Macaca fascicularis: one gene and its partner. The protein of the gene in region 1 interacts with the protein of each later gene in a pairwise test. Links are inferred from orthologs where the notes say so. Each region holds a gene or a part of one and is shown on either strand. Other genes may lie near its edges.

The links. The genes of interacting proteins can lie anywhere in the genome.
Region 2: the proteins of A2M (region 1) and C14H11orf58 interact in a two-hybrid assay, tested with the Homo sapiens proteins (2 studies listed by BioGRID and IntAct). The link is inferred for Macaca fascicularis from reciprocal best matches to the Homo sapiens genes A2M and C11orf58.

Annotation. Positions count from the first base shown.
Region 1 is NC_088385.1:11,866,909-11,871,865, reverse strand, and holds part of A2M (alpha-2-macroglobulin), read right to left. Parts: intron 3,237-4,957; coding exon 3,013-3,236; intron 1,326-3,012; coding exon 1,107-1,325; intron 939-1,106; coding exon 811-938; intron 1-810. UniProt on the Homo sapiens protein: Is able to inhibit all four classes of proteinases by a unique 'trapping' mechanism. This protein has a peptide stretch, called the 'bait region' which contains specific cleavage sites for different proteinases.
Region 2 is NC_088388.1:49,009,503-49,014,459, forward strand, and holds the end of C14H11orf58 (small acidic protein), read right to left. Parts: intron 3,299-4,957; coding exon 3,189-3,298; intron 1,228-3,188; coding exon 994-1,227; 3' UTR 202-993; downstream 1-201.

The sequences.
Region 1 (4,957 bases):
GTTTGTGGAGAGATAATTTTTTGTCAGATCTGCCGCTATTTAAATATTGATGCATTGGCCGGGCGCGGTGGCTCACGCCTGTAATCCCAGCACTTGGGGAGGCCGAGGCGGGCGGATCACAAGGTCAGGAGATCGAGACCACGGTGAAACCCCGTCTCTACTAAAAATACAAAAAATTAGCTGGGCGCGGTGGCGGGCGCCTGTAGTCCCAGCTACTCAGGAGGCTGAGGCAGGAGAATGGCGTAAACCCAGGAGGCGGAGCTTGCAGTGAGCCGAGATCGCGCCACTGCACTCCAGCCTGGGCGACAGAGCGAGACTCCGTCTCAAAAAACAAACAAAAAAAACAATAAATATTGATGCATATAAGTATATCTTCCCCCAAAATTAATTATATCATATATAACCTGAGATTTATTTATTGCCAGTAGGAATTCTAACTAAAGATTCACTACTTCCTTCTAGTCAAACTTTTCAGTAATTCTTCATCTCTGTCTTCAATAAAGCAAGAATAATATAGGATTTCATTACATAACAAGGAATTCACGTCAGAGGCAATGGGTAATATTTATTTAGTTGTTATTGAGGGAAATTATTACCCTTTAAACAATGAGGTTGCACAATAATAGATCCTGGATGGACAATGTAAACCCCATCATTGAGAAATTATGTTGTATCAACTTAAGAGAATACATTGCATTTTTAACGAATAGTGCAAACATCTACTATTGTACTGCTTTACTTAAAGAGGAGTTCCAGTACGAAGATTGGTGGTTATTCTTAGGATTAGGTGATACAGTCAGAAGGTCTTACCTGACACTTAGTGAGATTTGGAAGCTGGTGTGGGCTTTGGGTTCGTCACAAGTTGCAGGCAGAGTCTGCACCCCTAATGCAAATGGGAACTCTTCCTTTTCTGGGAGAATATTGTATTTCAAGGATGTCTATGGCACATCAAAGACAAAATCAGTTTTTTGCCCTTTCCCAGAATTCCTCTCAACTTCCCTAACTCTTTCTCTGGTTTGCCCCATTGTTTTCTGAGTGAGGACTTCTCAGTGAGAACAGCTGCTGTCCTCATCTGTCCTCTGTCCTCACCTGCCCAAGAGTCTCACCTGGAGGTAGACACATCCTTCTCCTGTCACTTTCATGCTGTATTCCCCAGGCAGCTCTGGTAATGAGACCCGCTGCAGTAACAGGCGGTTGCTGTTGTCCACTTGGAATTTGTTGGAAAATGTCCCTGAAGACTGGATAGTCACCTGTGCAGCCTTCCCAGTTCTGGTGAACGTGGCTGCTCCATATTTGGACAAAGCATGGAGAGCCACCACTGTGTCCTGGAAGAGATAGATGAGTGAGAGAACCCATTGGGTATTTTAAAGATTTGAGGGCTGAGATATTTTTCAAAGACCCATGTGAGGGACTTTGATTTCCTACTTCCCTCACTACTTAAATATTGGAGCTGTAATTTCAAGATTGATTATAATCTTTAGATAGTTGAAGAGCCATAACATTCAAATATCTACCTTGGACTGTATGCCCTACATGTTTATTTTATTTATCAGAAAATTGATCCTTTTCTCTCTAAGTATATGTGGAACATGGAATGTGGAAAATATAAGTGAATGATAATCAGTTATTGGCATCACCTATTTGCTAACACGTCTTTCTTGACAACTGTGGTCGTATCTGACATCACCCAAGCAAAGTTCAGTCTGGCTCTCTCCCATATTAAACTTTGCTCAGTTGCTGAGGTCAGTGACCTGAAGAGAACCCAAGGTTCTTTGCAGCCATGAGTAGAGTCATGCTTCAGTTTCTCCAAAAGAAATAAAAGATGAATATTATAATTATCTTATGGATTGAATGACATTTTTATTTGGCTTTCCCTTTTTATTGGGTGATTTCCTGTTCCCAGTGAATGTCTGCTGGTAGACATCCTCATCAACACTGAACCTGGATGGCCTCCTTCAAATAATATATTTCTAAGAAATGAATGATAACCTTTAACAAAATTACTTAGTTTTTTTCATTCATATGATGAAAGATTAATACAATGGAAATAGGATGGAATGCCATTTTGTCACATTTTTTCTGTTTTAGGGTATATAAGCAAACATCTAAATTCTCCGAAGATAAAACTGCCTGCTGTGTACATATCGATGAACTGTTCAGATACATGGTTATATAGCTAGACTTAGGAGGTTGGATGAATCGAGACAGTTCTTTATGCTCCTGATAAATAAACGTTTGTGTATTATGAGGTGAATAGGGGGCTGGACGCAGTGGCTCACACCTATAATCCTCGCATTTTGTGAGGCCAAGGTGGGTGGATTGCCTGAGCTCAGGAGTTCAAGATCAGCCTGGGCAACATGGTGAAACCTCGTCTCTACTAAAAATACAAAAATTAGCCGGGCATGGTGGCACATGACTGTAATCCTAGCTACTGGGGAGGCTGAGGCATGAGAATTGCTTGAACCTGTGGGTGGAGGTTGCAGTGAGCCAAGATCGCACCACTGTATTCCAGCCTAGGTGACAGAGAAACACTCTGTCTTAAGAAAAAAAAGAAAAAAGGTTGAATAGGGGAAGCACAAAATGTGTAGTTTTGAAAAAAGCCTATTAAAGGGGACCGAAGAATGGAGAGATTTGTGAGGAGAGGTTGTTGGAGGATTTTGAGTAGAGTTCCTTTGAACAGTTTGAAAGAGACCCTATAGCTTCCAGGAGAATGGCAGGAGACATCTCCTTCATTCTGCTGATGCTCCACTGCTGCTTGAGGAAGGCAGTGTTGTTATGGGAAACAGAAGGATAATAACACAGTGATGGGTTGCCGGAATTCTGAGCATTTCCTTTTGGCCCTCTTTGACTTTCATTTGCTTTTATTTCCCATTATCCTTGGATACTGAAAACTTTCCTTCATTTCAAGTTATTGTCATCTTTATTTTTTTCTTCTTGGATGTGTTTGTTTCTTTTTTGTTCAAATCTTTTGCTGCCTGAAGGTGAAATCAAAGGTTTTGGCAAATCACCAACCTGGGTGGAGGAGAAACCGCCCTGGGAATTCTGCTGCTTCGTGATCCACTTCACGACGTTGGTTGCAGAGGTCAGGTCCTCCGAGGTTGGGGCTGGCTGGGCCGTGAGGTAAGCGAGGAGCACGTAAGATGTCATCTCCACCTCAGCAGAGGGAGCCTGGGGTTCGTAAAAATGCCCCACTGGGGCCTTAGGTTTCTGAGGGCGCTCCCAGTGGACTGAGTTGTCTTAAAGGTGAGAAAAAGATATTTATAAGTGACTACATATTTATATTTAAATATAAATATAAAAGTACCCAAGCTAGTGTTGAAATGAGAATTGCATGCCCATTATAATCCCCTGAACTGTAGGTAGATGCTTTTCCTTCTATGTAAATCCGAATTTGGTGTGTTTCAGCCCAGCTAAGGCAGATATTGATGCTGGAGTCAGAAGCCTATGCCTATCTATGTTTTCAAATAGTTGCTGTAGTTGGGTTGGTGGGAGAAAGAAATGGCACAGCAGTTGTCTCATTGGGTGTGGCTGTTACCTATTTATGATGTTATATGATGTTATATTAGACCATAGCTGGAGTTTGTTACATTTCCTATGAAGCCTGTCTTTAGCGGTTTCTTGTGAGGATCACAGATCACAGGAAATAGTAGAGTTTGTACTCATTAGATTGAAAAAAACAATACAGTAATCCTTGAAATACCAAAGGCTGACATGGATGTGAAACAATGGGAACCAACATACACTGCTGTGGGAAGCCAATTGCTCTTTGGTGATATTCAACAATGGGGAAGATATGCTTAGCCCACTAATCCATCATTATGCTTCTCAAAGTGTAATTTGGAGAAACACAGATGCACGAGAAAACAGGCACACGAGTATTCATTGCAGCATTGTTTTTAGTAAGAAAACATAAAACAATTCATGGGAGAAGCTCGATGTGTAAATTATGACTAATTTATAGACTGTAATGTATTACGCAGCAGTGAAAATTAATGAGCTGACTCTGACCTACTTGTATAGGGGTCTTCATCCACATAATGTTGAACTTAGAAAATGAAAAGCAAACAAAAAACTAAGCTGCTGAAATATTCAAAAATGTTTCTCTTGTTTCTTGAATGAGAGAGAAAAAAATCTTGTTTCTGTCATGATGAAACACATGTAAGGATTCTAAATATTAGTTAGGGACACATATGCAGAAAAATATAAAGAAATCCATGGAATCGTAATGACAAATTCAGGAGGATGATTGCCTCTGGAGGTGGTAGTGATACACAAGGGATTTATTTTTCCAATATCGGTAATTTTCTATTTCTTAATCTATGAGATAGTTATACAGTATTTTCTAGTTATAGCTTATGCCCTTTTGTGTATCTACTATAAAATATTTCTCAATACATTTCAAGAAGAATTAATGGCTATCAAAGGAAAAAGGTAGACAATTTTAATGGACATCTTATGATTTGCATTTTATTTTCTATGTTTTCAACCCCTCATATAGACCATGGTATATGTAGAAGTATTGTGTGAATATGAGTAGACTGGGCAACATTATTGGTCTTATGAAATGGGCTTAAAATACCAGAATTCACTTTGGGAGGCTGAGGAGGGCGCATCACAAGGTCAGGAGATTGAGACCATCCTGGCTAACACAGTGAAACCCCGTCTCTACTAAAAATACAAAAAAATTAGCTGAGTGTGGTGGTGGGGACCTGTAGTCTCAGCTACTTGGGAGGCTGAGGCAGGAGAATGGCGTGAACCTGGGAGGCAGAGCTTGTAGTAAGCCGAGATTGCACCACTGCACTCCAGCCTGGGCGACAGAGTGAGACTCTGTCACAAAAAAAAAAAAAAAAAAAAAAGAAAATACCAGAATTCATTCCAGTAGTTACTTCCATGATTATTTTCTTATGTTTAAGGTTATACAATGTACCAGGTAAGAATTGGGCATATATTGAGAACT
Region 2 (4,957 bases), on another chromosome or scaffold:
GTACAAATCAACCACCTAATAGCAGTCAGATGATTCTAATCTTACACCAACAGAAACAGCAATAAAATTAGAAAGTAATACTTTTTAGTAATTAATCAATAAAATAGCACTGGGATAAAATGAAGAGAATTTCTTGTTTCAGCTTATCAGTAAGCCTGCTCCTCATTTGTAGATAATGAGGATAAAGGTATCACAGCCAAATATGGGAAACTGCTCTTTATTTAGACCTTTGGGACAAAATTAACTTTGGTCACGTTACTTAAAAAAAAAAAAATCCAGTTTTACATATTTCTAAATAGATAGAACTAAATGATCAGAGAAATCATTTCTTCTGTAAAAATTGGCCAAATCTTATCAAAAATCTAACATACGATATAATCCAAATTATAAAAAGACTACTTGGGATCATAATATTCCAAATGTATGACAGTTATAACTCCCATCTTAACAAGTGTGAAAAGTACTTACTCTCATGTTGCTTTGGTCCAAAAGAGTAGAGCTAACTCAGTAACAGGAAACTAAGTACCCAATCTTTTGCCAAAATTAATTTAGATTGTGACTGGCAGCAGAAATTTCCATGATGAACAGCTCTACTATAACAAAGAATAATTAAAGAATACTTTTCATGAACGTATCACAGTATCAAATACATTTTTATAAGAGAAAAATATGAAGGAAATGATAAAATAGCTATCACAAACAAAAAGCGTTTCCCCCATACGGTGAATTAGAGGGCTGATGATGCTAATATGAAAGTAAGTTGAGTACTGTATTTATTTCTTATTTTATACAACTCTTACTCTTTACAAAATTGGTTATAGTCATGCCCATAAAAGTGTAACCCATGGCATTTGAAAGCAAACACTCCTTGTAATTATTTAAAAGGGCCTTTTTAAAAATTATAATACAAAGGTCTGTGCTCTATAAGCAGTCCTCCACTGTGCATTATAACAATAAGGCTTACTTTTAATACAAAGACTAAGCGTTTGGGAGTTATGAACCACTGGATTTAACAAACATCATTTTATAATTGCTTTTTGCATCTTTTTTGTTTTTGGGATCCTCCACTTCATCAGGGTGCTCAGGAGCTTGGAGTTCTTCAGCAGATTCTTCTTTCTCTGACTCTGAATCACTTTCAGAATCATCTGGACTTTCAGGATCAGGTGAATCATCATCGTCATCATCATCATCTCCAGCTACATCACCTTCTCCATCATGATCTTCTACCTAAAACATCAATCAACAGGCTCTTTTAAAAATAAACATTAGCCCATACAGAATCTGAGAAAGACCGTAAGTTCTGTCAGTCTTAGAAACACTTACTTTGTAGCCATTGAACAACAGTTTTAAGACTTGAGTGGAATTTTAAGAAAGAGCTCTGTCTGGCTAGGCCCAGTGGCTCATACCTGTGACTGAGATTCCAGCTACTCAAGAGGCTGAGAGGCAGGGGGATTGCTTGAAGCCACAAATTTGAGACCAGCCTGGGCAACATATTGAGACCCTGTCTCTTAAAAACAACAACAACAACAAAAAAGAAACTAAAAAAAAAAACAACAAAGAAAAATTAGCCAGGCATGGTGGTGCATGCCTGTAGTTCTAGCTACTCCGGAGGCTAAGGTGTGAGGATTGCTTGAGCCTAGGAGTTCAAGGCTGTAGTGAGCTATGATCATGCCACCGCATTCCAGCCTGTGTGACAGAGCAAGACTCCGTTTCTTAAAAGACAAAAGAAAACAAGAGGGGAGGTGCTCTGAAGACCACACACCTATCTCCCCTCTCCTAGTTTGAAAACCACGGTATTATATTTTCCCGAAAGAAACAATTTTTTAAATTGATAAGGCATGTTAACCACTGACCTTTATGTGGAAATCAGTTATAATTGTTTTGCACATTGTATTACTTTGGAGTAAACAGTAGTCACACATAAATTCGTAATATAAAAAGAGATCACTTAGGAAACAACTGAAAAAAAAAAGCTCTCTTAAACCATTATTTTAAACTTACATGAAATATTTTACTTAACTTGTGAGCATGTCGTTCATGCCTATTAAAAATGTGCCCTGGCCAGGCGTGGTGGTTCACGCCTGTAGTTCCAGCACTTTGGGAGGCGGAAAGATCGCTTGAACCCAGGAGTTTGAGACCAGCCTGGGCAACATAGCAAAAGTCCATCTTTACAAAAAATACAAAAATTAGCTAGGCGTGGTGGTGCAGGCCTATATCCCAGGTCCTTGGGAGGCTAAGGTGGCAGTGAGACTGTGCCACTGTACTCCAGCCTGGGTGACAGAGTGAGAACCTGTCTCAAAAAAGGGGGAAAGGTGCTCTGATGTTTAAACAGCATTTTCATTTTTAGAAAACACACTTTAAAATCCTTAGAAACAGGCCAGGTGAGGCTGGGCACGGTGGCTCAAGCCTGTAATCCTAGCACTTTGGGAGACTGAGGTGGGCAGATTGCCTGAGCTCAGGAGTTCAAGGCCAGCCTGGGCAACATGGTGAAACCCTATCTCTACTAAAATACAAAAAATTAGCTGCGTGTGGCATCATGTGCCTGTAATTCATCTACTCAGGAAGCTGAGGCAGGAGAATTGCCTGAACCCAGGAGGTGGAGGTTGCAGTGAGCTGAGATTGTGCCACTGCACTCCAGCCTAGGGGTAACAGAGTGAGACTCTGTCTCAAAACAAAACAAAAACAAACGGCCAGGTGTGGTGGCTCACGCCTGTAATGCCAGCACTTTGGGAGGCCAAGGTGGGTGGGATCACCTGAGGTCAGGAGTTTGAGGCCAACCTGGTTACATGGTGAAACCCCATCTCTACAAAAATAAAAAAAATACAAAAATTGGCTGGGCATGATGGCAGGTGCCTGTAATCCCAGCTACTCAGGAGGCTGAGGCAGGAGAATCACTTGAACCCGGGAGGTGGAAGACATCACACCACTGCACTCCAGCCTCGTGAGAGAAGGAGACTCCATCTAAAAAAAAAAAAAAAAACAAAAAACAAAACACCACACAAAATCTTTGGAAACATCTCTTCTGATTACCTACAGAGACCAGTAGGGCATATACAATTATTTTTAAGATAATTACATACAGAGAGCTTTCTACATGGGATTCTTGATTGCTAGGGTAATCTAACAGCAATAAGTGGTACCAAATTGAAAACTAATTATCTTCCCAATGAAAATAAGTTAATTACTACCTCACTGAAGCCAAGTCCACAATGTCGCCGGTATCTTCCTGACAATTTACTGTCCATACTTTGCTGATATTGAGACTCCAGTTCTTCATTAATTTTCTTGTCTTCTTCCCCTGCATGTCCAGGATACTGTAGTTATGTTTCAGTCAAATTAATAATTTACACAAAAACCCATAATACAGATGCCATTATACTCAGGGCTGATTTATCTAAATTGTGACTAATTTTACTATGAATTTTGAGAATTTATGCCATAGGTGGTTACCTAATAGACAATAAAATGACTGATGTTGAGATAGCATAAGTATTTATTACTAAACACTTTGGGTATTAAATGTTTTAGCTTACTTATAGTAAGTAGATGTTCTCCTGAAAGTTTTTTTCCTAGTCACCTAATAAAAACTCTCTAACAAACAGAATTATCTATCTTTGAACAAAAACACTGAAAAAAGCTAGGCACTTCTGTTCAGCAAATGGCTAAATAAAATGGTCATGTACTGACTCTCCTTTATGCCTTCCTTTGCATATCAAGTTTATCAGAACAACTTAAAACTTTAAAGCAGCAGTTGCCAACCTTTTTGGCACCAGGGACCAGTTTTGTTGAAAACAATTTTTCCATGGATGGGGAGTGGGGGTGGTGGTGATTTCAAGATGATTCAAGTGTATTACATTTATTGTATACTTTATTATCACATCATAATATATAATGAAATAATTGTACAACTCACCGTAATGCAGAAGCAGTGGGAGCCCTGAGTTTGTTTTCCCTACAACTAGATGGTCCCATCTGGGGGTGATGGGAGACAGTGACACCCTAAGTGTGTTGCTTATGTCCAGTCTACTAGCTGTAATCTTGTTTGGCTGCTGTCACTACAGAAAACCCTGTTTCACAAAGACAGGAGGTTGGAAATAGAAGCAGGCTTTCCAGTGCTTTCGTGGCAATCTCAGAGTATTCCACTTTGTCTTTAATCCAGAATGAAGTTGTCTCAAACATACTTTTAAGGGCACCGTCATTTGTGATCTTAAGCAGCTGATCCTCTTCTAGCATGAACAAAGTCGATTCACCTTATTCACAAATGGGTTGTGAATCCATTCCTTCCCAGTTTGGGGCTCTTTCGTGGTTGGAAAATAATACCTCAAACTCTTTGAAAGCTGAGATAGGTGATCATGTGCCAGGTGGGAGAAAAAAGGTCCTGGCTCAGTCTCTTTTAAAATCTCTGCTAATGTTTGAAACATGTCAAAAAATCCCAGTGTTCACTTGTGGCCCCCATAATACCAGTTTGGCTTTGAATGCAGTCACTTTATCTGCCAACTTGAACACAGTTTTGTTCTCCCCTGAGGTGACAGATTGAATATGTTACACAAGTAAGCAAGGTTTTTTTTTTTTTTTTTGAGACAGAGTCTCACTCTCTTGCCCAGGCTGGAGTGCAGCGGCATGATCTCGATCTCGGCTCATTGCAACCTCTGGCTTTCAGGCTGAAGTGATTCTCGTGCCTCAGCCTCCCAAGTAGCTGGGATTATAGGGGTGTGCCACCACGCCTAGGTAATTTTTGTATTTTTTAGTAAAGACGGGGTTTCTCCCTGTTGGCCAGGCTGGTCTCAAACTCCTGGCCTCAAGTGATCTGCCTGCTTTGGCCTCCCAAAAGTGCTGTAATTACAGGCACGACCCACCACGCCTGGCCAAGTAAGCAGGTTTTACGACCCATTCTGTGTCAATGAAATGTGCTGCCAGTGATGACATTTTCTTAAAAAAAAAAAAAATCTCTGGAGTG